7 linked regions of the Cricetulus griseus genome follow. The protein of the gene in region 4 interacts with the protein of the main gene of each other region in a biochemical or structural test. Links are inferred from orthologs where the notes say so. Each region holds a gene or a part of one and is shown on either strand. Other genes may lie near its edges.

What was found.
Region 1: the proteins of Ctnnb1 (region 4) and Erbin interact in a test that uses a peptide from one of them, tested with the Homo sapiens proteins (2 studies listed by BioGRID and IntAct). The link is inferred for Cricetulus griseus from reciprocal best matches to the Homo sapiens genes CTNNB1 and ERBIN.
Region 2: the proteins of Ctnnb1 (region 4) and Hnf4a form a complex in vitro, tested with the Homo sapiens proteins (2 studies listed by BioGRID). The link is inferred for Cricetulus griseus from reciprocal best matches to the Homo sapiens genes CTNNB1 and HNF4A.
Region 3: the proteins of Ctnnb1 (region 4) and Axin1 form a complex in vitro, tested with the Homo sapiens proteins (2 studies listed by BioGRID). The link is inferred for Cricetulus griseus from reciprocal best matches to the Homo sapiens genes CTNNB1 and AXIN1.
Region 5: of the proteins of Ctnnb1 (region 4) and Ube2b, one has a biochemical effect on the other in vitro, tested with the Homo sapiens proteins (2 studies listed by BioGRID, with this or other methods). The link is inferred for Cricetulus griseus from reciprocal best matches to the Homo sapiens genes CTNNB1 and UBE2B.
Region 6: the proteins of Ctnnb1 (region 4) and Tax1bp3 are reported together in a solved structure, tested with the Homo sapiens proteins (2 studies listed by BioGRID and IntAct, with this or other methods). The link is inferred for Cricetulus griseus from reciprocal best matches to the Homo sapiens genes CTNNB1 and TAX1BP3.
Region 7: the proteins of Ctnnb1 (region 4) and Magi3 form a complex in vitro, tested with the Homo sapiens proteins (2 studies listed by BioGRID and IntAct, with this or other methods). The link is inferred for Cricetulus griseus from reciprocal best matches to the Homo sapiens genes CTNNB1 and MAGI3.

What each region holds. Positions count from the first base shown.
Region 1 is NC_048595.1:322,068,691-322,072,190, forward strand, and holds the end of Erbin (erbin), read right to left. Parts: intron 3,411-3,500; coding exon 3,336-3,410; intron 2,407-3,335; coding exon 2,299-2,406; 3' UTR 365-2,298; downstream 1-364. UniProt on the Homo sapiens protein: Acts as an adapter for the receptor ERBB2, in epithelia. By binding the unphosphorylated 'Tyr-1248' of receptor ERBB2, it may contribute to stabilize this unphosphorylated state.
Region 2 is NC_048599.1:15,981,617-15,985,732, reverse strand, and holds the start of Hnf4a (hepatocyte nuclear factor 4-alpha), read left to right. Parts: upstream 1-1,316; 5' UTR 1,317-1,482; exon of another isoform or gene 1,483-1,544; intron 1,545-4,116. UniProt on the Homo sapiens protein: Transcriptional regulator which controls the expression of hepatic genes during the transition of endodermal cells to hepatic progenitor cells, facilitating the recruitment of RNA pol II to the promoters of target genes. Activates the transcription of CYP2C38.
Region 3 is NC_048600.1:45,818,566-45,822,065, forward strand, and holds part of Axin1 (axin-1), read left to right. Parts: intron 1-1,529; coding exon 1,530-1,637; intron 1,638-2,877; coding exon 2,878-3,045; intron 3,046-3,500. UniProt on the Homo sapiens protein: Component of the beta-catenin destruction complex required for regulating CTNNB1 levels through phosphorylation and ubiquitination, and modulating Wnt-signaling.
Region 4 is NC_048597.1:228,008,207-228,011,706, reverse strand, and holds part of Ctnnb1 (catenin beta-1), read right to left. Parts: intron 2,789-3,500; 5' UTR 2,735-2,788; coding exon 2,722-2,734; intron 2,376-2,721; coding exon 2,148-2,375; intron 1,988-2,147; coding exon 1,734-1,987; intron 1,617-1,733; coding exon 1,378-1,616; intron 1,288-1,377; coding exon 1,086-1,287; intron 1-1,085. UniProt on the Homo sapiens protein: Key downstream component of the canonical Wnt signaling pathway.
Region 5 is NC_048600.1:66,264,708-66,268,838, forward strand, and holds the start of Ube2b (ubiquitin-conjugating enzyme E2 B), read right to left. Parts: upstream 2,801-4,131; 5' UTR 2,723-2,800; intron 2,407-2,722; 5' UTR 2,382-2,406; coding exon 2,338-2,381; intron 67-2,337; coding exon 1-66. UniProt on the Homo sapiens protein: E2 ubiquitin-conjugating enzyme that accepts ubiquitin from the ubiquitin-activating enzyme E1 and transfers it to a E3 ubiquitin-protein ligase. In vitro catalyzes 'Lys-11'-, as well as 'Lys-48'- and 'Lys-63'-linked polyubiquitination.
Region 6 is NC_048600.1:86,945,780-86,949,896, reverse strand, and holds the start of Tax1bp3 (tax1-binding protein 3), read right to left. Parts: upstream 2,801-4,117; 5' UTR 2,684-2,800; coding exon 2,645-2,683; intron 1-2,644. Other genes in the region: Emc6 (ER membrane protein complex subunit 6), read left to right, coding at 3,284-3,616. UniProt on the Homo sapiens protein: May regulate a number of protein-protein interactions by competing for PDZ domain binding sites. Binds CTNNB1 and may thereby act as an inhibitor of the Wnt signaling pathway. Competes with LIN7A for KCNJ4 binding, and thereby promotes KCNJ4 internalization.
Region 7 is NW_023276806.1:52,925,966-52,929,465, forward strand, and holds part of Magi3 (membrane-associated guanylate kinase, WW and PDZ domain-containing protein 3), read left to right. Parts: intron 1-304; coding exon 305-443; intron 444-1,211; coding exon of another isoform or gene 1,212-1,261; exon of another isoform or gene 1,262-1,302; intron 1,303-1,865; coding exon 1,866-2,926; 3' UTR 2,927-3,500.

The sequences.
Region 1 (3,500 bases), on a different chromosome or scaffold from region 4:
TTCTAAGTCTCGATCCACCCCCTATATTCTGTAAGAAAACTTTGGGTATTAGTTTAAGTACAAAATTTTACGATTTAAATTTTTTTTTTTTTACTTTTACTCTACATTGTATGTTATTTCAAACTTTGGCAAAAAACTTTCTTATCTAGCTTTCAAGAATATACCAAAATTAAAAGGAACCACAGTGGACTAAAATAATAGTGCATATAACATCTGTACCCTTAATTCCTTTTGCAAAATTATAATCAACAATTCTGGTTTAAGGTAAGATCATTGAGAAATATGTAATTATATTTACTTTAATTATGCTTAATTAAAAGTGACTGTGAAAATGTGAAGTCAATAAAGGGAACACTGAGACATATTAAAGAAGCTGTCATTCTTTGTTTTAGAGATTACAACACATACAAGTGAATTTTATCAAAATACAGCACATTTCTTCTACTATATTCATAAAAATCAATTCCTATGTAAATAGTACTGAAAAACCAACTAAAATGAGTTAAAATTTACAAAGAGTTGTTAAAGGGTTTCAATCAAGATTATTAAAACTATACAGTACAATACCCAATTTATAACAACTTGAAAGGAGTGCAATATTTGAGCTCAGATATTTTTAAAAGTGCTGACTATTCTGACTAGGAATGGAAATGTTTCCAACTCATTTTGTAAAAATAATGCAGGTGGTGTTTGAGCTAGTCCTCTAAAGATCTCAACTAAGTCAAGGTTTAAGAAAAAAGCATAATACATTAGAAATACCCAAATTATGCATCTCAGAAATTAAAAAATGAATTCAGGAACAGAATATTGTTCTAACAAAAGTTTCCAGACTAGCTTCAACTAAAAACAGTTGCTGGTCTTCTATGGCACTTTCCTCTGGTCCAAATAACCATGCATTACTTCTTACCCCTGCATGTCATTCAAATTTTATTTGATTACATACATCAAAAGCAAATAAAATTAATGATCTGGATATAAACAAAATTAATAACTTCCATCATCAAATATTTGTTACAGTAACTGGGAACAAAGGCAATTGGTGGTAAAACACTATTACACCGACACATTTAGAAACCCTTTAACGACTCTGAAGTGTGGAGTTCACATTGAATGTATCTGTAGGAACAGCCCTTTATCTGCACACTTAACACACTGGTAGGCCTCGAGGACCATCCCTTTGCTCTATAACTCCACAGCAATTCTCTATCACTGTGCCAGTCTCACAGACTTGCTTTGGTTTCCTAGCTCCATGCGCACTCCACGTTTCCTTTCACTTTACAAAGGCAATGCCAGGCCGAACAAAATCAAGAGGCTTTCCTAAACCTTCTGAAACTTTGTATTACAGGCAACATATACAATCTTAAAACTGGCCTTTTAGTTTCATTTGCTTCTTAAAAAAATTATAAATTAGATTATGATGGAAACTAATTATAAAAATTAGATTGCAAGTACCACCATTTGCTAAAGAAAAAATATCAGGGAACTTTGTAGTAAGGGAAATGTGTGGACATGCATCTACATTAGAGTTAAAAACTTCAGTAACTAAAAAAATTAAAAATTGAATCACCAGTAGCAAATGTATAGTCAACAGCTATGACAATAATTGATCTTGCAGAGCTCATAAAATGCAATTATTGTCTTTTAAAAAGACGTCATGTATTTTATTGCATTATTCTATTAATAAAAATACATTATCAGATAACTTTTTTTTTCACTGTTAGCCTCAGATTTTATAGGAAATAATGTTTTAATCTGGCCTCGGAAAGTGAACCCACCAGCACCAACTTCATCTAGCCACTCTTCAGTATGCACATAGCAAAAGCCAACATTTCAAATCTCTTACCCACATGGAAAAAAGTAGTTCGGCAGAAAAAACATTAATACCAGTTGGAGAAAAATAAGGGCACAAAAGCTGTGAGATAGATAGCTCTGCCATCTGTCTCTGGGCTACAATCAAGGCTAACTATTGCCTTGCGTACAGTCAGTCATGTGTATGAAATCCAAAAATAAACCTACAATCTATACAAAAACAACATAATTTTGTTTTTGTAGCCTTGATTTGCTAAGTTTAAAAACCTAACAACAAATTTCATATATGAATTCAACAGTCTCTTTTATCTTCTGTACAGTGGTTCTTCCCCTCTAACCACAAGCTCCATTATTTCAGTAATGTACAAGTTCCAAGCCAACTGTCTGAGTTCTTCTTTATATATAAAAATAAGCAAAATAGTCATTTCCCCTGCAAGTGTCTTTCAATAAATCTTCCTTGTTTTTTTTTTTTTTTTTTGTCTATAGTGCTTATGAAGAAACTTCTCGTACAATGATGAGTTCTACTGTGTTCTGGAAAGTTTTTAACAAGGACACTGCTTGTCCATGTTCAATGTTGATAAAACTGTAGCCATTAGCCTAGAAGAAAGGGGGAAAAAAAATCTTAGAAATACATTTGCATTTCTAGTTGTAAATTTTTGACAAACAGTTCACAACCTGTCAGAAAAAAGAACACCACTGGCTGATGAGATGGTTCAGAGAATAAGGCCATTTGACTCCATGTTGGAAGCCCTGAATTTGAGTCTGGGGACCAACAACCCAGAAGGAGAAAACTGGTAGCTTCAAGGTGTTCTTGGACCTCTACACTCATGAAATATAGCACATGTGTTTTCATGTCATGATTTGGAAGCTGGCTGGCGGCCCAAAAGAAAGCCTGTTATACAATAAAGTGAATACTAAAGATAAAGTGGCAAAGTGTGATCACCTTTGTCATATAGTTTTCTGAGTTTGAAATTATTTAAAAATCAAAACATTTAAAATCACCATGAATTCACATGCCATCCTTTGAATCACTCCAATCTTAAGTGTATGTACTGCTGAAAACAGGCACTGAGTTAACATTAAGAAGGGCTGAGCAAGGATACCATCTGAGGTGGTCTGCACTTTCAGCTACTCAACAGCTCTATCATTTTTGGTTTGAAGGTTACTTCCTATTATCGGAACTAACAATAAAGTAGGAGGGAGGAAGTAAACTATCCTTGTGTACTAAGGCAATGCCACACTGCATGTACTTAGATAAATAAAGTAAGTTACTGATGTAACTTAGGGAGTGGAAATACTAAAGTAGTTTCTCAGATTTTGAAATTTTACTATTTGATATGACAACTCACCTCTAAATTATTAAAAATTAACATTTCAAAATTTAAAACAAAATGACCTATCAAACATATAAGCATGATTTTCCAAGTATAAAGCAGAAATATTTAAAATTCTAAAACATTAGAAAGTACTATAAAATAAAATTATTATAAAATGAAAGAAAATAATAAAAAGGTTGATTTAATTACCTGAATAATTTTATCACCTGGCTGTAGTAATTTTGATGCTGGTCCTTCAGGCTGTACCCTTGTTACAAATATACCCTTTAATGAGCAATCACAAAAAATAAATTATTTAAGGCCAAACTACAAATTGAGAGCATGACTCAGGATCAAGGGAAACCGTTTTCAATA
Region 2 (4,116 bases), on a different chromosome or scaffold from region 4:
AGGGCATTGACTCTTCCAACCGGAGGCTGCATCTTCATGAGTGACCCATGACATTCTAGAGTTGGAGTAGCTGTCTCCAAATAAAGCCGAGGGCTCTGTTACATCACCTGCAGCTGAGTGAGCCCCCCACCCCCACCCCAGCATCCCTGGGATTTATTTTTATCATATGGAGAGGATTTTTTTTTCCTTCCCCATGGGGTTCATGCTGTGATTCAAAGACATTCAGGTAATTGTGTTTTGTTTCTCTGTTTTAAGACAAAACATGTAGCCCATGCCAGCCTCTCTCTCCAGCTCAGGCTGGCTTTGAACTCCTGATTCTCTTGCCTCAGCTGCACTGGTGCTGGAATCATAGGTGTGTGTCACTGTGGCCAGATGGGGTTTGGATCTTTATACTGTCTGTGTTTTGCAGCCAACATCTTTGCAGCACTCACGGTGTGCCAGACAAAGTTCTAGCCCTTCATCTACACGAATGCCAATAGTCTCCACGATAGCCCAGAAGACTACACATTATCAACAACATTTGCAAGTAAGAACACCACAGACACAGGCCCAGTGCAGTGGTAGTGTATGCATTCAAGGCCAGGAAGTCTAGGCCCAGACTTTGTTTCTTGAGCCTTGGCATGCTGCTACACTTTCTAGGCATCTCCACTTTATCTTGCAGAGTTTTTATTTTGCAGACCAAGGACACAGAAGCATTTAAAGGCAAATAATTTTAAGTTAGGATATAGCAAAATGGTTTGTTTCATTCTGACTATTTTCTATTGCCCTCTACTTAGGGAATGATATTTCACTTGAGGGGAATAACATTTCCTTTGAAAATAAATCCAGCAGCTGGAGATGTAAGCCCGATTGATGGGGTGGGGGTCTAGCGTGTTTGAGCCTCCCGTCTTTATAACTGCATAAAAACTGGCCTGGTGTCGCATTCCTTCAGTTCCAGCACTAGAGAGGTGGACCAGGAGGACCAGAAGTTCATGATCATTCTCAGCTATATAGCAAGTTTAAGGCCAGCTTGGGCTACGTGAGACCCTACCTCAAAAAGGAAAAAAAAAAAATAGGGGGGTTTATAAAATAAATCTAAGTAAAAAGAAGTGACTTGGTGCAAGAAAATTTGTATGTAGGTGACATTAGGGACGGTTACCAATACTGGTCTCGGGGGAAACACGTGATGCTTTTAGGAAGTCTGTCCCAACTGATTTGTTAGGGCTAGTCTGTGGCAAAACGCCTGGCTCCCCTTAGCCGGTCTCTAGCTCTCTTAAAGTGCATGTCCCTCCTTGGTTAGCAGGGGGCGCTAGTACACACCCTTGTTTCCGTAAGGAAGCACCTAGTCTCAAAGCTTCGGACTGGGGCAGGCACAGCTTGCTTTTCCTGACATCTCGCTGGCCCAGACAAGTGTCACAGTCAATCTACCACCTGCCTGTAAAGAGAAAGAGTAGACCAATGTGAGCAGTCCCGGGTACACTCGGAGCAGACTTCGATTTGCAGGTCCTTACCCACCAATGTCCTGCACGTGACCTTCGAGTCCCTGTTCCTAGGGACCCGAGAGGGTGAGCCTGGCAGCCCCTCTAAAAACAGATCCTCCACGCCTGTTGGTGCCGACTCTTCATAACTGGTCAGGCTTTATCTAGGTTCTGAAGGGAGTTGGGCTGGGGCTAGGCGTTGGCTGTGTTTTGTTTTGAACGCACAGAAGAGCAGCTGAGTAGCTGGAAAGCAGAGGAAGGGAAGGGGAGAGCAGCAGCTGACAGCCTCGTGGAGCACGAGGTTTCAGTCCTCAGGAGACCGCTGGAGGAGCGCTCCTCCCCTCTGAAACTTTTAAAAACTATTTTTATGTGTCCATTAAGAAAATGGCTTATTAATTCACTTGCATGCACACACGAGTGCTCGTGTGTTTGTGAAGGTCAGGGAACAGTTCAGGAGACTGTTTCTCTCCTACTGTGTGGGTACCAGGGATGGAGCTGAGGTCATTTCACGTGTTTATTGTGTGTGAGTGTAAGTGTGGCAGTGAAGTTATCTCAGAGATAACCAGTGAGAGAGGGTTCTGTCTTCCTGCCACGTGCATCCTGGTAGCCATCTTTATCCACGGAGTTACCTCACTGGTCCATTGAAGAACTTCTTTCCTTCTTCTTTTTCGTTTCTCTCTCTCTCTCTCTCTCTCTCTCTCTCTCTCTCTCTCTCTCTGTCTGTCTGTCTCTCTCTCTTTCTTTTAAATACGTGGTCTCATATAGTGCAAGACTATCTATCCTTAAACTCACTATATAGCCAAGGATTGCCTTGAACTCTGCCCCCAATTTCCAAGTGCTGGAATTTTAAAGCGTTTGCCACCATGCCCAACTTATGATTCTCAGACTGTTTATTTCACTTTGCAAAAATTTTACTGTAGGCATGGAATTCTTTTCATTGATTGTCTACTATGTACCAGGCACCGAATGGCATTCTCTTCCTTAAGCACGAATGTAGTATGTATGTATGCATGTATTATGTATTGGGGAAGGGTGTTCTACAGTGATCACAGGGAGATCCAAGGGGAGGAGTTGCTTCTCTCCTTCCACCAGGTGGGTCCTGGGGATTGAACTCAGGTCACCAGGCTGAGAGGCAAGCAGCTTTATCTGATGAGCTCACTGTGGGCATTCTCATCAATTCCTCCTCAAGGGCCTCTTTGGAGAACTCTGTCACACTCCATTAGCTGGCCTTTTCTTTGTCTCATTTGAGCCTGCCCAAGGTTTGGGGTGTACGATGAGGAACGCAGTCAGTGGGCGTCTCCACATCGGGAGCTGGAGAAATGTAAAAAGATCGTCAACAAGTAACTGAACACACCGGCCATTTCAAGTCGGCGAGCAAGGAAGACACAACAGAGACAGAGAATAAAGGTTGAGGGAGGCACAGAACTCACACAAAGTGTGGGAAAGTGACGAGTCTGGGGCTGAAGATCCGCCCTTACTCCAGGGATGACAACAGTCAACAGATGTGCAAAGGCCCAGAGACAGGAAGGAAAACATGGAGAAATAAGATGAGGTTGGAGACGTGGGGACACAGTAGTGAAACCCTCGTGACAGGAGTCTTATGAGCTTTATAAATGCCCAGGACACTGTAAAAGTTTAAAGAGGGGAGAGGTCTGAGGCAAGGTATGTTTGTGCATGATTACCCTCGGGTTTTGAGTGAAGAGGAGCTGGCACAGGAACCAGAGTGGGCAAGGAAGAGTTTGTATAAAGACTTATGCTGGCTTCCAGAAAGCATGGTGATTGTGCCAAAGTTGACTGCAGTGGAGCAGAAAAAAAAAAAAAAATAAGGAAAATTCTAGCTACTGTGGAGGTGGCATGGACTGGGTTGTTTGTTTTTTGTTTTGTTTTTTGATGATCTAGAAGGACAGGAGGACACAAAGCACAAAGATAGGAACTGATTCGGGGGTGGGGGTACGTATGACATGTTGTGATGACGGTGTCGATGATGATGTTAAGAACCTCGGAATGGAGGAAGCCATCCCACAAAGCTTCCAGTGTGTTTAATATGATCCTCGATAACAATTAGGTGTGATTTTTCACTCATATCCTCGTGTTAACTTTTATTTATCTTCATTTTATTATTAGCATACACATGTGTGGTGTATGTGTATGTTTGTGTGAGTTTATGTGTACCGTGTGTGCAGGAGCCATGGAAGCCAGAAGGGTATTGGATCCCATGGAAATGAAGGTATAGTGTTAGACCCCCGGAAAACTCAGGCCTCCAGGATCTCAGCCCCGGACCTCGGTCACCCCAATCAGCAGGCAGATTCGAAAGCTTGATGCAAAAAGCATGAGGCTTTATTGTTGTTTAACGAGCTAACCCCATGTTAGCTCGGGTCTTTCACGTACCTGCCATGGCGGATGGCTAGCAAAGACAGCTCGAAGGGGCTGCACAGAGATCTTGTTGGGCAGTGTAAGGGGAGTGTCTAGGGGTACGCACAGGCTCAGGATTGGTGTGCCTCCAGGCTTGGAGGGCTTGCCCTGTGTTGATTGGCCAATTGGTTGTTATGGCCCATAGGCCCTCCCAGGGTGGTTTCTATGCTCTGCACATCATTGCTGTGCACTTGTCTGTAAAGCACACCCAGAGCCGTAAAGCATAGCACCACCAGCTAACTTCTGA
Region 3 (3,500 bases), on a different chromosome or scaffold from region 4:
CCTTGCCCAAACTCAAAAGACCTCTCTTTAGGAAGCAGTATTCTTGGAGGCAGAAAAGGCCTTCTCTGACCCTTTTATTTTGGCTTTGAATCACTTGCCTGGACATTCTGGCTTATTGGAATTCCCAAGTGGGTAATAGTCTCCATGAGGGCTTAGGATCTGTTTCTTACCCAGTCCCTGGAACCATGGTCACACAAAGGCCATTATTGCCCTTTGAAACTATCACCTCCTTTATTCAGCTTGGGTTGTGTACATTCTGGGGTCTGACCTCACTTCTAAGAGTCCTCTTTCCCTGGGATGCTACAACTCTTGACTGGCAGACTCTGCACTTATGGTCTCTAATAGAGTCAGGCTGTAATTGCCCCAGGAGCTTAGACATCTTCCTGGTCACTTAAAGTCTCCTGGACCCACACCAGGCTCTGAGCTCCAAAAGAAGTCACAGCTGCCTTAAATACAAGGGACCACTTTGCCACCTGTTGTAAGCTATGGTATACACTTGTGCTACCTGTTCTGTGCAGGAAGTGTTCCTTCTGGTGCTGACACATTGCATGTATCTGGCAAGGGTCTGAGTCAGTGGAGTAGGGTGTCATGTGGGATCTTCTAGGAATGATGCCCTCAGAGGCCTGGGCAGGGTGTGCTCAGAAGCCAGTGTTCCTAGGATGCAGGATTATTTTGTGGAGTAGGGTATTTTGGGAGTTAGGATTCTCTTGTGATGCAGAGGTTGCATCTGTTCATCCTACCATTACCTGGCAAACCCCATATGGCAACAGCTGTGGTTTTCTCCTGGCCTGTAGCATCAGCTAAACCCTTCTTGTTTGTGTTTTGGGGTATGAGAATACCATCACCACACACATACACCCCATACCATCAACACACACACACACACACACACCACGTCTTAGCTGGTGCCCCCACACACACACACACACACACCACGTCTTAGCTGGTGCCTCCAAAATCTTCATGTGTGAAGAAATTGAATGTATTGAGTCTATTTGTCTGGAACTTTATAAGCAAGTCTAGATGTATGCAGTGAAAGGCCCAGGCCTTGGCAGGCCCTGTTAAACTATATCAGATAAAGTCACTATTAGGGACAATAGTGGCATACCCAGGTAGAGGGTTCTCTTGGAAAGGCTCTGTCATGCTGGCAGCAGCTCCCCAAGAAACAGTGTCACTGCTTCTGTCCATGTCTAGTATCCACATCATCTTCAGGAGGTCATGATGAATCTGTGTAGAAAGAGCCACATTCCTGGGAGGTGTCTTGGAAGGCCTTCTCCAAGAACCTCTAGCTGGAGAAGTCATCTGAGCAGGAGGTGAAGAGAGCCTGTAGCACCAAGACCAGCCGTTCTCCAGGGTGTATTCCAAAGAGCAGACTGGCATTGACCCTGTGTCTAGACACTTAGGGCAGGGCCTCTGATGATATGTGAGTGGGAGTTGTTGGCAGCTAGTTCCTGCTGCTCACCCTATCTGGGCACACTGTCCACAACACTGGCTGAGCCCCATCTTCTTTGATGCGGGTTGTTCCCTAGGTATGTGCAGGCAGTCATGCAGCGGGGACGCACCTGTGTCAGGCCAGCATGTGCACCGGTGCTGAGTGTGGTACCAGCCGTGTCGGACTTGGAACTCTCCGAGACAGAGTACGTGCGCCCTGTGGGTCCTCCTGGTTCTGCCCAGCCCAGGCCAAATCCCAAAGTGGAGCACCTATTTGATAGGCTTTGTCACTGAGCTAGGAAGCATCAGGGCTGGAGAAAGGCCTGCTGTGGCTTCTCTCTCATGTCTCCCAATAGAGGAGATCATGCCTGTTCAGTGTAGACATGATCAGTAGGCCTATAAGTGGTTCATGCAGGCATCACAGCTTGCCTTTCATCTCATCTTTATTCTCCTGAGCTTCTGAGCTAGCTCTGGGGACTGGTGGGTCCACTACCATTCTACACAGGATCAGGTCCACATTTCTAGTCCCCTTGAAATAGCACTAGGAACTTGCGGCAACTTTATAGTAGCATCTGGATGGTGTGACTACAGCCAGGACTTAGGCTCTGCACCTCCGCCTGCCATAGCCACATTTAGGTCAGGGGCATTTCTGACTATGCCCTTCCTGCTCTTACTCAAGACAGGAAGATGAGGATCCCCCTTGGGCCTTGGGGCCTCTGCAGATGGCCCTCCAGTTGTTCTGGAGAAGTAGGTCTCCCCAGGTTTAACCGCCAGAAAGCTTCAAAAGCCCATTGCTGGAAGAAGGTCTGAAAACCTGGAAAATTACACATCCAGAATGCCCCGTGTATTTTACTTGGCCAAGAAAAAGCAGCCATGTGGCCATGGTTGAGGCCAGCTATGGAAGCTTCTGGAGTGATTAAAAAGTACAGGAATACAGGAGCAGACTCAGAGCAGCTACACAGCCCTTTGAGGACCTGAGTAAGAAACAGCTCAGGCCTCCAATCTGCTTTGGAAATCCTGGTCCTAGGGACACTTCCTTTCCAGATCTGTGCAGCTCTGATTGGTCCCTCCTCAAGACTTATGGAAGTTTGGAGAGGTTGGGACTTGTCAGTGTTTTGAGACCAGCCCCCTTACAACTTTGGAGATAGGACTTTGTGAGCCGAAGGCCTGGTCTGGTTATTGTGGGTATCTGTGTCCACTTTACGTGGTCTGGATGGTGAAGTGCTTCTTTTAGAGCTAGACCTCTAGCTTATTTTCTAGTGAGTGGTTTACACAGGACTGGCACCCAGATTTTGGGTAGGTGGGTGGCTGGGCCTGTGAACACCACATTGCTGAGTGAGATGCTGACCCTGGGATGTCTTGTCCTCTATTGGTAGATGGTACCTTTGAGGTACTCTGTGTGACCTTGGCCTGAGCCCACTACTTACCACTCTGTTTCTGTCCCAGGACAAAATCACAGAGAAAGGCAGGTGGCGGGAGTGCACCCCCATGTGACAGCATTGTTGTGGCCTACTATTTCTGTGGGGAACCCATCCCCTACCGGACCCTGGTGAGGGGCCGTGCTGTCACGCTGGGCCAGTTCAAGGAGCTGCTAACCAAGAAGGGGAGCTACAGGTGAGAGGAGAAGCTGCAGCCATAGGGCATACTTGCCCAGCATGCAATTTGGTTTTCTGTTCCACTGCTCTTTTCTCTTCCCCTTCACCCTACTTCCCTCAGCCATGGCTGCTGCTTTCTGCTCTTATTTGGGGCACATCAGGGTTGGATAGCATCAGGACTGGCCCTCTTTTCTAGCCGCAGACCTCTCTCTCACTCCTTGTCAGCCAGCTCAAAAACTCCAGTAGTAAGGTTACTGATACCTGAGTGACATGGGAGCCTGTCAGCCCTCCTGGTGTCAGCCCATGTGGATGGCAGAGCTGGGGACCCAAGACCTCTGCTCTTCCTGATTCAGAAGGCTATCAGCAACCTCCATACCCACCAGAAGCCAGGATTGGGATTCCCAGGGGTTTTATAGCAATTTTCAACATACTGTTAACTCAGCCCTTTCAGTGGTCCCAGTTCTACCCCAAGTG
Region 4 (3,500 bases):
GAAGACGTACAACTAGTGTCATACAACTCCAGAAATGCTGGAGAGGAACCCATCAGCAAGTTACTGTGTCACATCAAAGTGTATCTCTGGACCTCTCTGACGCAAGGTCTCAAACTGGGGGGTCCTAGGTATGTGACTTCTATACTACAGTATTCTGCTCAAGTCCAGGCATGCCAACACTTTCAAGAATACATCAACTTGGGCTGGAGAGATGGCTCAGTAGTTAAGAGCACTACTTGTGCACTACTTACTAACCCGGACTCAATCAATTCCCAGCATCCCCAACTGTCTCTTAAGTCCAGTTCCAGTGTATCGGACATACCACCCCCGACCAAGACACACATGCAGGCAAAACATCAATGCACGTAAACTAATAAGAAATAAACCATTAGAGGAAAAAAAAAAAAAAAAAAAAAACACCAACTCTGGCCATCTCCCCAAATGGAACATAAAGAAAAAGAATATGAAAAGCAACCATGTTTGCCTGTAGTAGTGAAAGTTGTCAGAACTGCCAGTTGAAAATGGGCACTAAGAGCCCATAGCCTCTGCCCTTGACCTTCTGAAAACACTGCAGAAAACATTTCCACAAGCAGATCTATTTCATACCTATGCTCAAAGTTACATCACCTGGTCTTTGGTATGCCCTACAAGCCTCACAAGGTCTACCCAGACTATGTGTTTACAGCCTTACCCCAAAACTTTCTCAAGCACTATACTCTGAAAGCCCCACCCACACCACCCTCCTTCCCCTTCAGGGCTTCCCTACATGCCTTCCTCTCTCTCACCTGCCTCCACCTACTATAAACACCTCACTGCCTCTCAAGCATCTCCACAAGGCCCTCAGAACAATGTTTCTTCTGTGTACTGAACCCCTTCCTTCTAGTCAGATTGGCAATTATCTCAAGGGTAAAGACTCTGGAGGCCTTTTCGTGTCCACTCAGTGCGATGCACAGCACGGTGCACACAGACACTCAATGTTGAGAGGACAGAGTGCAGCTCCTCTAGGGTGCACACAAAGGGCAGGTCAGTGAGTCTGGAGCCTGTGGAGCCTCTGTGCCCCATGCTAACAGCTTTCATGACTTTACCTTGCTCTCTTGATTGCCATAAGCTAAGATCTGCAGGCAGTCTGTTGTAATAGCCAAGAATTTCACGTTTGTTTTGTTGAGCAAAGCAACCATTTTTTGCAGTCCACCGGCTAGGCGCACCGCCATTTTAGCTCCTTCCTGATGTAGCAGGAGGTTGTGCAGCGTCGTGATGGCATAGAACAGAACAGAATCCACTGGTGACCTGAGAAGAAAGAAAAGAACCTTTGTCAAGCCAATACTGGCACCCTTCTTCTTCCCACCTTTCTGGTTATGTGACCGACCACTTTCTTACCCAAGCATTTTCACCAGAGCAGGAATGCCTCCAGATTTAAAGATGGCCAGCAAGCCCTCACGGTGGTGAGAAAGGTTGTGTAAGGTCCCAGCAGTACAACGAGCTGTTTCTACATCATTTGTGTTCTGCATGGTGCGTACAATAGCAGACACCATCTGAGGAGAGCGCATGATGGCATGTCTGGAAGCTTCCTTTTTGGAAAGCTGATGAACCATAACAGCAGCTTTATTAACTACCACCTAGAGTACAGGGGGTGAAGAAGCACCATTAGTTTCCAAATACTGACATCGAACAGCCATCGTCACCCTCTCAGTTTCCCTCAAAGTAAACGGGAAGCAAGCTGTGTAACTGCTTACCTGGTCCTCATCATTTAGCAGTTTTGTCAGCTCGGGAATTGCACGTGTGGCAAGTTCCGCGTCATCCTGATAGTTAATCAAATTAACAACGGCATGCTTCAGCATCTGGGATGGCTCAGCCAGGCGCTGGACGTTGGTGGGATGAGCCGCGTCAAACTGTGTGGACGGGATCTGCATACCCTCATCTAGGGTCTCAGGGAACATGGCAGCTCGCACCCTCTGAGCCCGAGTCATGGCGTACTGTCCGTCAATATCTGGGAAAGGAAAATCCATGTGAGACTTCACTGTCCTAAGTGCTAAGTAACAATGCACCCGACTTTCCTCTGCTTTTCACTTGTGCCTGTGTGTCTCTGCCACCACACACCCTTGCTAAGAAACCCAACTCTAGCTTTTAAACACACAAATGCTTTTTACCCGCCACTTGCTCTTGAGTGAAGGACTGGGAAAAACCTTGCTCCCACTCATACAGGACTTGGGAGGTGTCCACATCTTCTTCCTCAGGGTTGCCCTTGCCACTCAGAGAAGGAGCTGTGGTGGTGGCACCAGAATGGATTCCAGAATCCAAGTATGACTGCTGCTGCCAGTGACTAACAGCAGCTTTTCTGTCCGGCTCCATGGCCATGTCCAACTCCATTAGATCAGCTGTAAAAACAAAACAATTTAGTGCACTGAAAATGATACCTGAATAAAATATCCATGACAATGACCCATTGAAATACATTTAGAAACGTATTTCAGCAACCAAGGAGATCAGAATGATAGCCAGTGTGTGCTCCATGGTAGAACAGGGGCAACCCAGTGGCATTCAAGTTCCAGAATCACTCAAGCTAGACTCCCACGGGTAGCTTGCTGATTATTTCACCAAGCTGGTAGTAGTAAGCAGAACAGCAACAGGTAGGCTGGCAAACCAAAGCCGGCAGGGGCAAGAGAGCAGCAGGGACTCTAAGGCAGCATACAGAAGCCACAAGCAGCTCCCCGGGGCACAGACCTTGAGTAGCCATCGTCCACGCACGAGTGTGGTGTCACAGCTGCTGTACACTAAGCTTCAGATAATCCTGAAAAGAAAAATCAATTCATTAAAATTTAAGCAGATGCCTGCCACATGTGTTATATGTCCCACCAACACAAACCAAAAGCATGAGATACACTGAAAACACAGACCCTGAAACACAGCTCCACCATCACTGACCTTCTGAGTGAAGGCCATGTCTCAGCAGACACACAGGTGCTGAGAGAGAACAACTCCTTTGCTCTCCCATGAAAGCCAGCAAAAGGAACAATATTCAAATTTCAACTGCTCTGTGAATTCCTGAAGGCTAAAGACACTCAGACTGGGCTGGCCATGGAGACAGTGGAGTTTTTAAAAAACACCAAATTTTTATAAAACAAATCAGTTGTTTTTGCTGATATAACACTGATCAGAATGGCGATTTAAGAAGCAAAATTACTTGTCAAGTCAAAGTCTGAAGCACAAATAGAAATACATTTATCAAAAGATTTGTATGAGTTCAAGCAGTGATGTACACACCATGGCAACTGGTGCAGTTGCCCCTAGGATCAACAACAGAATGTAACATTTCTCACAGGTAAATTTTAGTCTAAGTAATGTCTGCATTTTAGTTTTACTGTACAATATTGAAGAAAAATATCAAATCACTAAGAACCAGATGGAAGCTTGGGGTTCGTGGTCTCTAGGTACTGTATGAACAGATTTCCATTATTAATGTGTGTCCCAAGCAGGGTCATCTTGCACTACAGCTAACACAA
Region 5 (4,131 bases), on a different chromosome or scaffold from region 4:
TTCCATTGCATGATGTTGTTTTCAGATGGTGCACCACTGACCCCCACGGGTGGGTCCTCTTGCAATCTAGAAATCCAGAGTGGTCATTTTCAGAGTTAACATAAAGGTCACCAAGGTCAAATTCTACTGAACCTATTCTGAAAGACTGGCTAGATTGACTTTCTTGTTATCGATGGAGCCAGAATGAACCACAACTTAAATGAATCAACCAGGTTAATAAACTTATTAATAGTACAAGTGATCTCTAAGTCCAAAGGGCTAAGAGATCATCCCTCTTCAAACCACAAGATTTAAGATGTGGTCTCTTGAAGACCCATGTTTCCAGACTGCACTCTTAACCCACTGAAGAGTTATAATCTTAGCAGTAAAAAATATGGCTAGACAACCAGCAACTTGTGCTGGGTGGTGATGGCATATGCCTTAGAAAACTATCACTCAGGAGGCAGAGGCAGGTGGATATCTTGTGAGTTGGAGGCCAGCCTGGCCTACATAGTGGGTTCTAGGACAGTCAGAGCTACATAGAGAAACCCTGTCTTGAAAAACAAAAACAAACAAACAAAAAAACAAAGAAAAAGGGAGAACCTGCAAATTTCCTACCTCAACCATGCAAGGATCACCAGTCCTAACCACAGACACTGCACAACACAGAATTGTAGTCAATCTCTGTATACTCTAAATGACTAAAAACCACATTCAATTTAACTAGAAAGCAAGTTTTATTTCGTGCCCTGTGCTTCAGACAGTGGCTTTCTAAAGTAGCCGGAAGCTCCTGCTAGTTTTCCAAGCAGCCAATTTTAAAAGCTGTTCAAAGGCCAAATCTACCTCAGACCAGGACTTCACAGAGCTTCCAACAGACGTCATCATCAAATTCTTGTAACCTGAAGATCCTTGGAAAACTACCAACTTAAAATCAAATAAAAGAATTGCAAAAAAACGAGCAAGAGATAACAATGGATATAACTGGGAAGTTTTATTTGCGTTTCAGTCATGGAGCTAATCAAATAAGGTGACTTCAAGCCCTGGGTGACTTTTGCACCAAAAAAGGGCATCCTTTCCTGTCAGATTAAAAAACAAAAACAAAACCTCTACCTCTCCCTCTCACACACACACACACACACACACACACACACACACACACACACACACACACACACAAATGAAATATGTTATTTTCAGATGGTAGGACACTTGGCAATCAAGTCCACATAAAAAGTGTACTGTTTGGTCACTCTCAAGCAGATTAGGCCGCTGATAGGGTTTACAGGAAGTACTACTTACTGCTTGACTCCCCACTTTTAAGTGGCCAAAAGCATCAACAAATGAATTAAATAATGTCTAGGGTCCAAGACAATGGCTTCTAAATGCTTCACACAGGGCTCTATAATGGCGAAGTTAAGAGGTTACTTCCTGAGCGGCAAATCTAAGTTTCTATATTACAGATTTGTCTCAATCACGGCAAGTCTGCCCCCAAAAGAAAACAAGACTATCTGGACGCTGGACTTCAGGTAGTTTCTGCACTTGTACGTTTCCAAAGAAAGACAAACAATTGGAAGAGGGAAAAGGTCATTTTCTTCCTCCAAGCCCCGTATTTCCCAACAAACCACTATTTTCCAAAAGAACGCCCAGGTGGAGTATCAGATTAGCATCAGGCTGACGGAAGGCATTTTTCCAGGCTAGGGAGGCTATAGATAGGCTTTTATTCGGCAGCCAGATCTCAGTTCCAGAAGGCATTGGCAGCACGAGTGACCATCTCCTGGCCCAGGTTTCCCGAGCCAGTTCTCAAGGTCCTTCCAGGTGGGCGGGGGCAGAATCGGGTTTCGGGGGATGGGCTAACCACCTCCGGCCCTCGCGCAGCAGACCCCACCCTCATCACTGCAGAAAGGGAAGGGACATGGGGCAATATTCACCCTAACCCCAATCCAAACGGGAGGCCGCGGGGCGCTCTAACAAAGCTGGACTGGTCTGCCAAGCGAAGCCCCAGCCTCAAGCGGAGCTCACTCGCACCGGCTGGGGAGGGGACGCCGCAGGGCACAGAGGCAGGAGATGAGGCGGCGACAGCTGGCCTAGGTGGGCCTTGGGGACACCTAGGCCCAGCGATGGCCTTCTTACTTCTTTGGGGGAAGGGCAGGGGGCAGTAGTACCAACCATCTTTACTCAAAAGGAGGTACCAGGCGAGGGAGGAGTGGGAGCCGCCGGTAAACCGGGACTGCCGCGGATGCCGGAGGCCCACAGTCCACCCCCTCAGGGTCAACAGGGGAATAGGTCCCGGATCCCCGCCCTGCAGTCCTACGGATTCGGGAAGGAGCCGTCATATTGGACTAAGGCGAGGGCCCTTACCGCTTGAAATCCCGCATGAGCCTCCTACGGGCCGGGGTCGACATGCTCCGCAGCTGCCCCGCGGTCAGTCTGAAAGAAAAGAGTCCCGTTCGGCCCCCCCACCCCCCGGCGCAGCGGCCGAATCACTGTGGGTCGCCGCCGCCGCCGAGACTGCACAAACAACCCTGCAATGACGTCTCCCTCCGCCGCCTCCAGATCCCTCCGCCCTCCGCCAGTACCACCGCGGGAGGAGGGGGGAAGGGGCGGGGCGAGCGGGCGCGCGCGCGGCACCGGCCGGCGCAAGGGGCCGTCTTCCGGGCCGTCTTCCTGTGGGGAGCTGGGCAGACTCCGCTCCCTGCTCACGCTGGACACCGCAGGGTCAAGGCCGCTGGAGGCCACATGCTACCTCGACTCTCTCCCCCCGTTGCTAGTTTCAGGTTCGGCCGGACGGGGAGAGACGGACGCATCCGGAGCCTGAGATTTCAGGGAGAGGAGGTGGGATGACGTCAGGTCACGTGACCACTGGCGGCGTTGTCAACAATCCACCCCTGAGGGGGAGGGAGCGAAGTATCTAGAACCACGTGTTCCTGTGACGCCATTAGAACAGGTCACGTGACAGCGTCGACTCGCTCTTGGTTTGGGGTCTAAGGAGGCAGGTCGTTGAGTTTCTGGGCTTGACACCTCTAGTTATACCTTGTTCTTTTGGCCCCAAGTATAAGGACTTTGCCTAAGGAGACGTTGTGGAAGGAGCCGCTTGCGTTCTAAGTCTTTAAAACGGAACAAAAAAAAATCTGGATTTAATTCTGTTTCAAGTGACTTAGCAACTCTGGTACGTGGAGCAGGTACTGAAAGGGTCGCGTAGACTTACAATAAACAGCTTTGAATGCTAAGGTCGGCGCAGATGAGATGGGCTCTCGGTCACTGGGACCAGTAGCCTGTTGGTGCTAGTGGGATACGGAGATGAGACTGGAATAGCCCTTAAAGACTGCACAGAACTTTCCTTAGTTGGGATCTGAATCTGCCTGCGTTTGAGGCACAATGTGGAGGTGTGACTTTAGAGCATATCAATGGGCTGCTGGTCGTCAAAGAAACCTTCAAAAATGATTCAGATCGGGGAGAGATCGAGCAGACATGAGTGGGAGGTATTTCTTGAGTCTTAAGATAACTCATTATGGGTTTTGAAATAATTGCAAGGAGAGTGCAAAAGGACAGGAAGAACCCGGTCGTGCAGCAGTTCAAAAGCCTTGACCCTGCAGGCTTCTCCTTTTCCGAGTCACAGAATACCCACCCTCCGTTTCTAGTTCCAGTTTGCTACTCTACGGTACCGAACATTTTAGTAGACGCGGAATTCTTAGCTGTAGAAGGAGGAAAGGAATGAGAATCCACCGCTTCACTCCTGCCTATATTTCCATGAAACCAGGAACGGTTTACGTTTGCCACTGTCTTCAAACTCTGAATTTTCTCTTCATTTAAAGTAACCTTGAGAACCCGATGACTTGGTGCATTCTGCTAATCCCACCGTTCAGGTAGTGGAAAGGATCAGGAGTTTAAAGGTAGCCTCAGTGACAGTGGAATGGTGGCCACCCTGGGCAGCCTGAGGACGTCTCATCTTCCCCGCCCCCACCACCGTAAAGAAAGTAACCTTGAGGATTGTTAGGTAGGTCTAACTCCCCCTAGCCGCTGCTGTGCACTCACAATGCGACTAAGTTAAAGGTTAAGTGTTCTTTTCTCCTTTTTGAGGTGTGCGATAGAACCCCAGGGCCTTACACGGCCCTTTAAATATTTATTGAGCCGGGTATGACATGCTGAGCACAA
Region 6 (4,117 bases), on a different chromosome or scaffold from region 4:
TGCCTGCTGAGGCCGCTCAGATTGTGGACTGCTGAGCAAGCCCTACAGAGATTATGAAAGCCTGGAGGGGCATGGGAGAAGCAGGGAAGAAACTTGCCAAGAAGAGAAGGGCTTCCTGGTCAAGGAGACTGGTGTCTCCAGGAGGTGAGATGGGATAAAGGATGAGACTGGCGTGTAGGCCTAGTCATATAATCTCCCCAGTCCTTAGGTCCTGTTCTCATGCGGTGTAAGAGACACTATTCTTGGGCTTTCTCAGCATGCTCTGTGGTCAGGGTCTCCAACTGGGCAGGCTCCTTGGAGAGCCCTCAGAAAGCATCCTCCAGGTACCTACCAGAGGTTACCCCCAAAGTTGAGAATTTTAACACAAAGAAGTAGGAGTGGTTTTCTGGACTTGGGAAGGCTTCAACAAAGAGAGGATTATTTGCACCCAGCCTTGAGAAATGACAGTGCACCATCTGACCTTGATCTTGAACCTACTGGGTCTCAAAAAGGAGGTAGGAGTAGGGCAAGGCATTGATGCTAGGATGATCACTGGAGTGGTAGGTGGGGGAACGGATTTCTCACGGTGGGATATGGAGGTCTAAAGACACTTATAAGTGCTGATCCACAGACAAGGACTGAGATGAGCAAGTGGGGAAGTGCACCCTGTCATCTGTCCAAATCAGTAGCCTTCTCAACCTGTGGATCTCCATCCCGTGGGGACAACCAAGTCTTTCGAGGTCACCCAAGACCATCAGAAAACATAGATGTTCACATTACAATTCATAACAGCAGCAAAATTAGAGTTGTGAAGTAGCAAGGAAAAGAATTTTATGGGCGGGGGGTGGGGGGTCACCACATCATAAGGAACTGTATTCAAGGGCTGCGCATTAGGAAGGTTGAGACCCAGTCCAGATGAACACAACCATCACTCCATTGGGGACCCAGGTAGAGTGCAGTGTCAGTAGTTGGGAGTGTCAGGAGCCATCCACACAGGCTTCCAGAAGACAGACCTCTGGGGCCAGAGTTCAGGGGAGGAGACAAAATGGCTATAACAGAATCAGGATGTTAACTATACTTGAAGAGGGTAAGACTGGGAGGGAAGCATCTCCACCCCATGAGCAATCCAGAACTCGGGAAAGAGGCCAGATCTGCCGGCTTATGCTCAGGCATGCACCTCATATCAGGATTGGAGGACTGCAGACTTAAAGCTTTGAGAAGGACTCTGACTGGCCTGACAAGACGGAAGAGGAACAAGAAACATGATGCCTAAGGCCCATTCACCTGGAGCTTCCTGCCCCAAAGTGTAAGTGCCTATCCCCACACACCTCCCTTCACGCCCACCAGCAAGGTCCAAAAAGAGACAAAGCCCTGTGACCGACATAAGGGAGAAGTCAGGCAGCAAAGTGGCTCTCCTCGCACCCTCTCTTTTCCAGATAGGGTCAAGCCTGAACTCCTTTCTGGAGCAGTTAGGAAGAGATCCGAGAAAAACCAGGCCGGTACAAGTGGAGTGAAAACCAGGAAGTTGTCCACTGGCCCAGCAATATTTCCTTCTAGCCCAGGCCTGAGCTGGGGCTCTAATCTCATCCTCCTATAGCACCTTCATCAGTGGCTTCCCCCCCCCCCCGCGGCTTTGTTCCCCCCACTCTCTTAACTTTGGGAGTTCTCCAATACACTGTCTAAACATGGCCGGTCCCTATAGCTCCTGAGTTAGGACTCCAGGGCCAAGAGTGCTTATTGATTAACACCTGTAACTCCAACACCTGGAAGGCTAAATCAGAGTACTGCCAGAAATTCAAGGCCAGCGAGGGCTTAAGAGAGGCCCTGACTGGAGAGAGATCCAGGTCCTTCCTTTTTGGCAGGGCATAAAGGCTTCTCAAAGGTAGGTTTTAGTATACCCACCACTGCCTCAGGGTTGGGCTGCAGGGTCCATGAGACCCTGACCTTGTTGTTTAGAGCTACACCTCTACCTGCCTTTCCCTTTGCCTATTCAAATACAACTGATAAGACAAGACAAACCCAGAAGGCGACCCTGGAAAGATCTAGAACATCAAGTGTCACGCACAGGAACACGAACTTTGAACCAAGGGGCTGAGTATCCTGAAAAGTTCAGAAAATCAAGTTTAGCTCTCGAGGGGTCCGTCCCCAGAACGAGGCCGGATGAGAAGGGGGAAGGGGCTGCTAAGACAAACTCTAGCCAGTCCCACCCCCTAAATCTACGGCTAGGCGGAGGCAGCAGTGTGCCGGCTGGAGCAGAGGAAACGCTTCCTCATTCCAAAGGCTGCGACTCACTCTCGGACGTCGGCGCCCGCCCCCCGCGGCCGCCCAGCTGGGGACACGGAGGCCCAGGGCAGGGGAAGTTTTCTAACACTCCCACGGACCATCCTCCCAGTCCGCGCCTGCTAAACGTTATCCAGCCGGCGGCGGCAGTGCACTGGATCTGACCTCTGCTCTGGGTCTCGGGAGGCTCTTAGGTCCCAGCCACCTCTCCCGGCCAGGGAAGGCTGCAGCGCTGCTAAACCGAAACGGCCACTGGAGCTCTGGCCACCGGAATGCACACGAGAGCCCCGGGCACTTTGCTTTCTCCGCCCGTCTAGATGTCAGTTTGCCGCTCTGCGAAATGGGGTGAGCCAAGAGGAGAAGGAGCTCGCATGAGCGCACTCACCACTACGGCGGTGACAGGCTGGCCCGGGATGTAGGACATTTCGACTCAAATCTGACAAGCCGACAGCGCCCAGCGAGACCCGCAGCGAGAATGCCCGCGGCCGCGCCCTCCCTGGTTAACAAAGGGCAGCCCTGCTCGGCCCGCCCCCTCATGAATATTTAACAAGCCCCCAGCCAATCATCAGCTGCAGCGCTGGTCGGCTTTCGGGAGTCCCAGGACTTGTGTGCCCAAGTGGGGCGGGAGGGGAGCGTGCCCGAGGCGCAAGCGTGGGAGGGCGGGGCGGAGTTTGTGCGCCTGCGCAACCTGAGCCCTCCCAGCAGCCTCCAGCACAAGATGGCGGCGCGGAACGTTCCGCTTTCTGCTGTCTGAGGGAGCACGAGGGACTGTGTGCCGCGGTGTTCCAGGTAACTCGGCGAGCCTGTCGGGCGTGTGCCGATGTGCCGCTGTCCCAGGCCGGCTCGAGCCTCAGCCTGGGCGTCCCGTGGAGGTCAGAGGCCCAGGCGCGGTGTCGGAGGTCCCAGGGGAAGAAGGCGCCGTGCGCCCAACTCGCCGGGCTTCGGGCGCCACTTGTAACTTGGTTTTCTCCGCAGTTCCGCGTTGAGGCCTCGAGAAGGCAGAAGCGGAGCCCCGGCGGGTGCGATGGCCGCGGTGGTGGCCAAACGGGAAGGGCCGCCGTTCATCAGCGAAGCAGCCGTACGAGGCAACGCCGCGGTCCTTGATTACTGCCGGACCTCAGTGTCAGCGCTGTCGGGGGCCACAGCCGGCATCCTCGGCCTCACCGGCCTCTACGGCTTCATCTTCTACCTGCTTGCCTCCGTCCTGCTCTCCCTGCTCCTAATTCTCAAAGCGGGAAGGAGGTGGAACAAATATTTTAAGTCACGAAGACCTCTTTTTACAGGAGGCCTCATCGGGGGCCTCTTCACCTACGTCCTCTTCTGGACGTTCCTCTATGGCATGGTGCACGTCTACTGAAATGAGGGCAGGGGTGACTTAAAAGAAAAAAAAGATTGGCAGGACTCTTGCCAGCAATTAACACCGTGTAGACTTACTTAGTTTTTAAATTGTTTGAATTCGCTGCTTGTTCTGCACTGTTGTAATTTATATCTGAAGATAGTGAGCCTGTAATATTCTTCAGATTAAATGAAGTGTGACACCTTATCGAGTTCTTTTCTACCTTGATGCTTAGCCATGCTTTGAAGTCGCCAAGATTTGCTCCCTGTAGAGCAGGCCCTAGGCCATATAGCCTGTAATTTTCTTGGATTTACACCTAGTAGATCCAAAGGTACCTCTAGAGCTTACGTGAGAGAACGTTAACATCTTAAGGACTGATGACAGTTCGTGTTACTAAGCATTCTCTATGTGCAGGTATCGTGCTGTGTACTTTTTGCATCGGGTATGTTTGAATTCTAGCAATAACTCTATGGAGACATTACTGTTAAACTTCTGCTGATGCCCAGAGAGGTTAGATGTCTG
Region 7 (3,500 bases), on a different chromosome or scaffold from region 4:
CTTTTGCCTTACTAGAAATCAGTCTCAGGGCCTCACACATGTGGGAAAATCAGAATTTGATTCTTGATTAAGGCTCAGATACTGACTGGTAGCCACATAAAACTTTCCCACGTAGAATTTTTATAAAGTAAATAAAATCATGCATTGTCTCTCCTTATTGCTGTCATCTGTCCACCTATTAGCTATCTGTCCAGGTTAAAGATTTTACAAGTAAGAGTGAGTTAGCAGAATTGAAGGGCTCTGTTGACAATGTAGAAATGAAAAATCCTGCTGTTTCATACAGTTGTAAATGTTTCTTGTCCAGGTTGGTGACCAGATTGTGGAAATCAATGGGGAACCTACACAAGGCATCACACATACTCGAGCAATTGAGCTCATTCAGGCTGGTGGAAATAAAGTCCTACTCCTGTTGAGGCCAGGAACTGGCTTGATACCTGACCATGGTAAGTAAAGTAGCTAAGCATTCTTGCTGGGGAGGGGATGGCAGAAGGAAAGGGAATACCCCTTTGGAAGAGATGGACATTTTATTGGCTAATTTAGAAATGAACACCAGAAACACCTAAGAAAGTTACTATAATGCAAATGATGTTTCCAAATAGTATAATTGTTGCAGTAGAGCATTTGTTACCTTTATTTCATCTGAAATAGTGCTTTTTGGAGAGAAATGTGCCTATAAAATATGAGAACATTAGAGACAAACAAATGTCTTTAGAATAACCCAGCTTTTTTCTCCTTTGCTAATTACACTTTGCCAATAAATATTATTTTCTTAAAGTAAGCTTATCTCAATGAGTGAATGCCAGAACTTTAGGATTTTCTAGTCACTTATCAAAATAAGTTGCTGTAGCCCTACTACCTGGAGATAGGGAGTTAAATCTAAGATCATGTTTGTACTCCTGTATTGATGGTAAATGCCCTTGGCTTTATTATATATTTTGAACTGTCAGTGTTTTAAAAATCACTTTGGGAATGCATGATCCGAACTAAAGGCAGTACCACACCTGTTTTATATGTGTCTCCCTGCATAGCTCCCCATCAGAGCTGTTGTAGAGTAAATGTAGACATAACCTCCTATGGTCCCTTCCAGCTATGATTCTCTGGCTGTGTTACCTTTCACCATCTGCTCATACAGCACACATTCCCATGACATCTGTGCTAACTGTGCTGGTTTGTTTTCACATAGTCCTAGGCTTTTTCTCTTCCTTCTTCAGGTTTGGCTCCTTCCGGTCTGTGCTCCTACGTGAAGCCTGAGCAACATTAAGGCTTTCAGGGCTTTTCTTGGTCTTTCCTTAAAAAGACTTGGTAAATTTGCATGTCTTTTAAATCACTTCTTTCATTTTCTTTTTAATTAAAATGATGCTATTAAATACATCTACTTCTGTCTTCTGCACTTTTTCAGTCTTCTTTTGACATTAAATTTGACAGCCTAACAAGAAAATTATTTACAGTGCCCATAAACCTCATTTGGGTTACCACAGTCTGGTCTTTTTTCACTAGTGATTTTGGCATATCCTTAAGTTAAACAGTAATAATAGATTAATTAGTAAGTTTCTTGGACCAGGTACTTTGGTCCAATTTTATTATTTCTATCTTATTTGGCTTTATGAATAATTTACAGCTCATATATCACCTCTAACAGTACATAAGTGAAACAATTATTATAACAATCTACCCTTCATACATAAGCAGATATCTATAAGCATCTGCCTTTACAGAAAGTGACTTAAATATATACAAGTTATGTAACATATTCCTCCTTGGGCTATGCAACCTGTAACATATTCAAATGGCTGTCAAAGTTCAAAACTCACTGTTCCTATTCATAATTCTTGAGTGTAACTGTGTTCTACTCAATCACTTTTTAGGTGATTGGGATATTAATAGTCCTTCATCTTCCAATGTCATTTATGATGAACAGCCACCACTTCTCCCATCTTCACATTCTGCTTCCGTATTTGAAGAGTCTCACATGCCAGTAACTGAAGACTCTCTGATTAGAGTTCAGATATGTGAAAAGGCAGAAGAACTAAAGGACACTGTACCAGAAAAGAAAAGCACTTTCAGTGGAAGCCAGCCTGAAATGAAGCATCAGACCGTTCTCCAGAAAAATGTGAGTAAGAAGGATCCACCCAGTAGTCAAAGGCATGGTGAGAAGAATCTACTAAAAGGAGAAAATGGTGTCACACGAAGAGAGAGATCTGCTAGTCCCAAAAAGTCAGCTAATCAACATTCAGAGGAACATTTGGAAAAGATTCCCAGGCCCCTAAAAAGTGACCCCAAAGGAAAATCTAGAGATCGGTCACTCAGCCCTAGGAAAGGAGAGACTAAAGGTCAGATCACCACTAAGGCGGGTTCTGGACAAGATCCCTGCAGAAAAGGCAGAGGACGATCTTCTAGTCCCAAGAATCAGCAAAAGATTGTAGGCACTGGCCCGTCAAACACTGAAAGCCAAAGGGCAGCAGGCCATACTAGTGACAGTACTGAACAGCTCCCAGATGGGAAAGAAAAATCGGGTGTTGTCAGGAAAGATCTGAAGCAGAGTCAACTTGGAAAAACCAGAACAAGGTCTCCAGAGAAAAAGAGCAATAAAGTTGATGAAACATCTCTTCCATCCAAAAAGATCAGCAACACTGCTAGTAGGGCGGTGTCTGAGAAGGAAAAAGGAAAGAAGCCAACCACAGGAGAAAATGTCCAGATCTCAGCAAAGAAGCTCAAGCAGGAACCTGAAGAGAAGATGACGTTAGGTAAAGCAGAAGATCACAAAGGGAAAGAGCCAGAGGCCACTGACAGATGCAAGGAGCGTGCAGGGGGCATACCTGAAAACAGCTCTCCAGTCAAAAAAGCTCCCATCACTCCAGGGCCCTGGAGAGTGCCACGTGCAAATAAAATCATAGGCCCTGCTGGCATGGCTGACAAACAGCTATGACCTTTTGTATAATACAAAGAAAATTAAGTTGTAATTTTTTACTCAAACACAGCATTCTTTTAAGGGGAAAGGTGTCCAGATAGTCTTCAATACCTAATTGAAGCATCAAGTTAGACAGACTGCATGAAAGTCTTCTGGGATTCCTAAGACCCACCTGGCCCTGGCTGGCTGCCCTTCTTCACATTCAGGAAGGAGCTGCAGCCATGGGCTCATCTGCCATGCCCTGCTCAGGCTGCCCGCTCAGCAATGACATGATCTTAGCAGTATGGTTACAACTCACTTTGTATTCGTGCCAAGTTACCTATTGTATCATGTCTGTTTTATCATTCCCATTCTGATATTTCCAGTCATGAAACAGTTCGGTTTAGCTTGAAGATGTTTCCAATAGCATGTTGCATGCTTACAGAGAGAAATATTTGAGTCCTTGCAGAGGAAGAAATTGTTAGCTCATCATTAAAGTTGGCACTTGCCGATTTTCATAGCTTCTGACCATCCTAGTTTAAAAATGCAACTCAGAAAGATCACTACATTACAGGAAAAATCAAATATTAAAGATGCTTTTTTTATGGCTAAG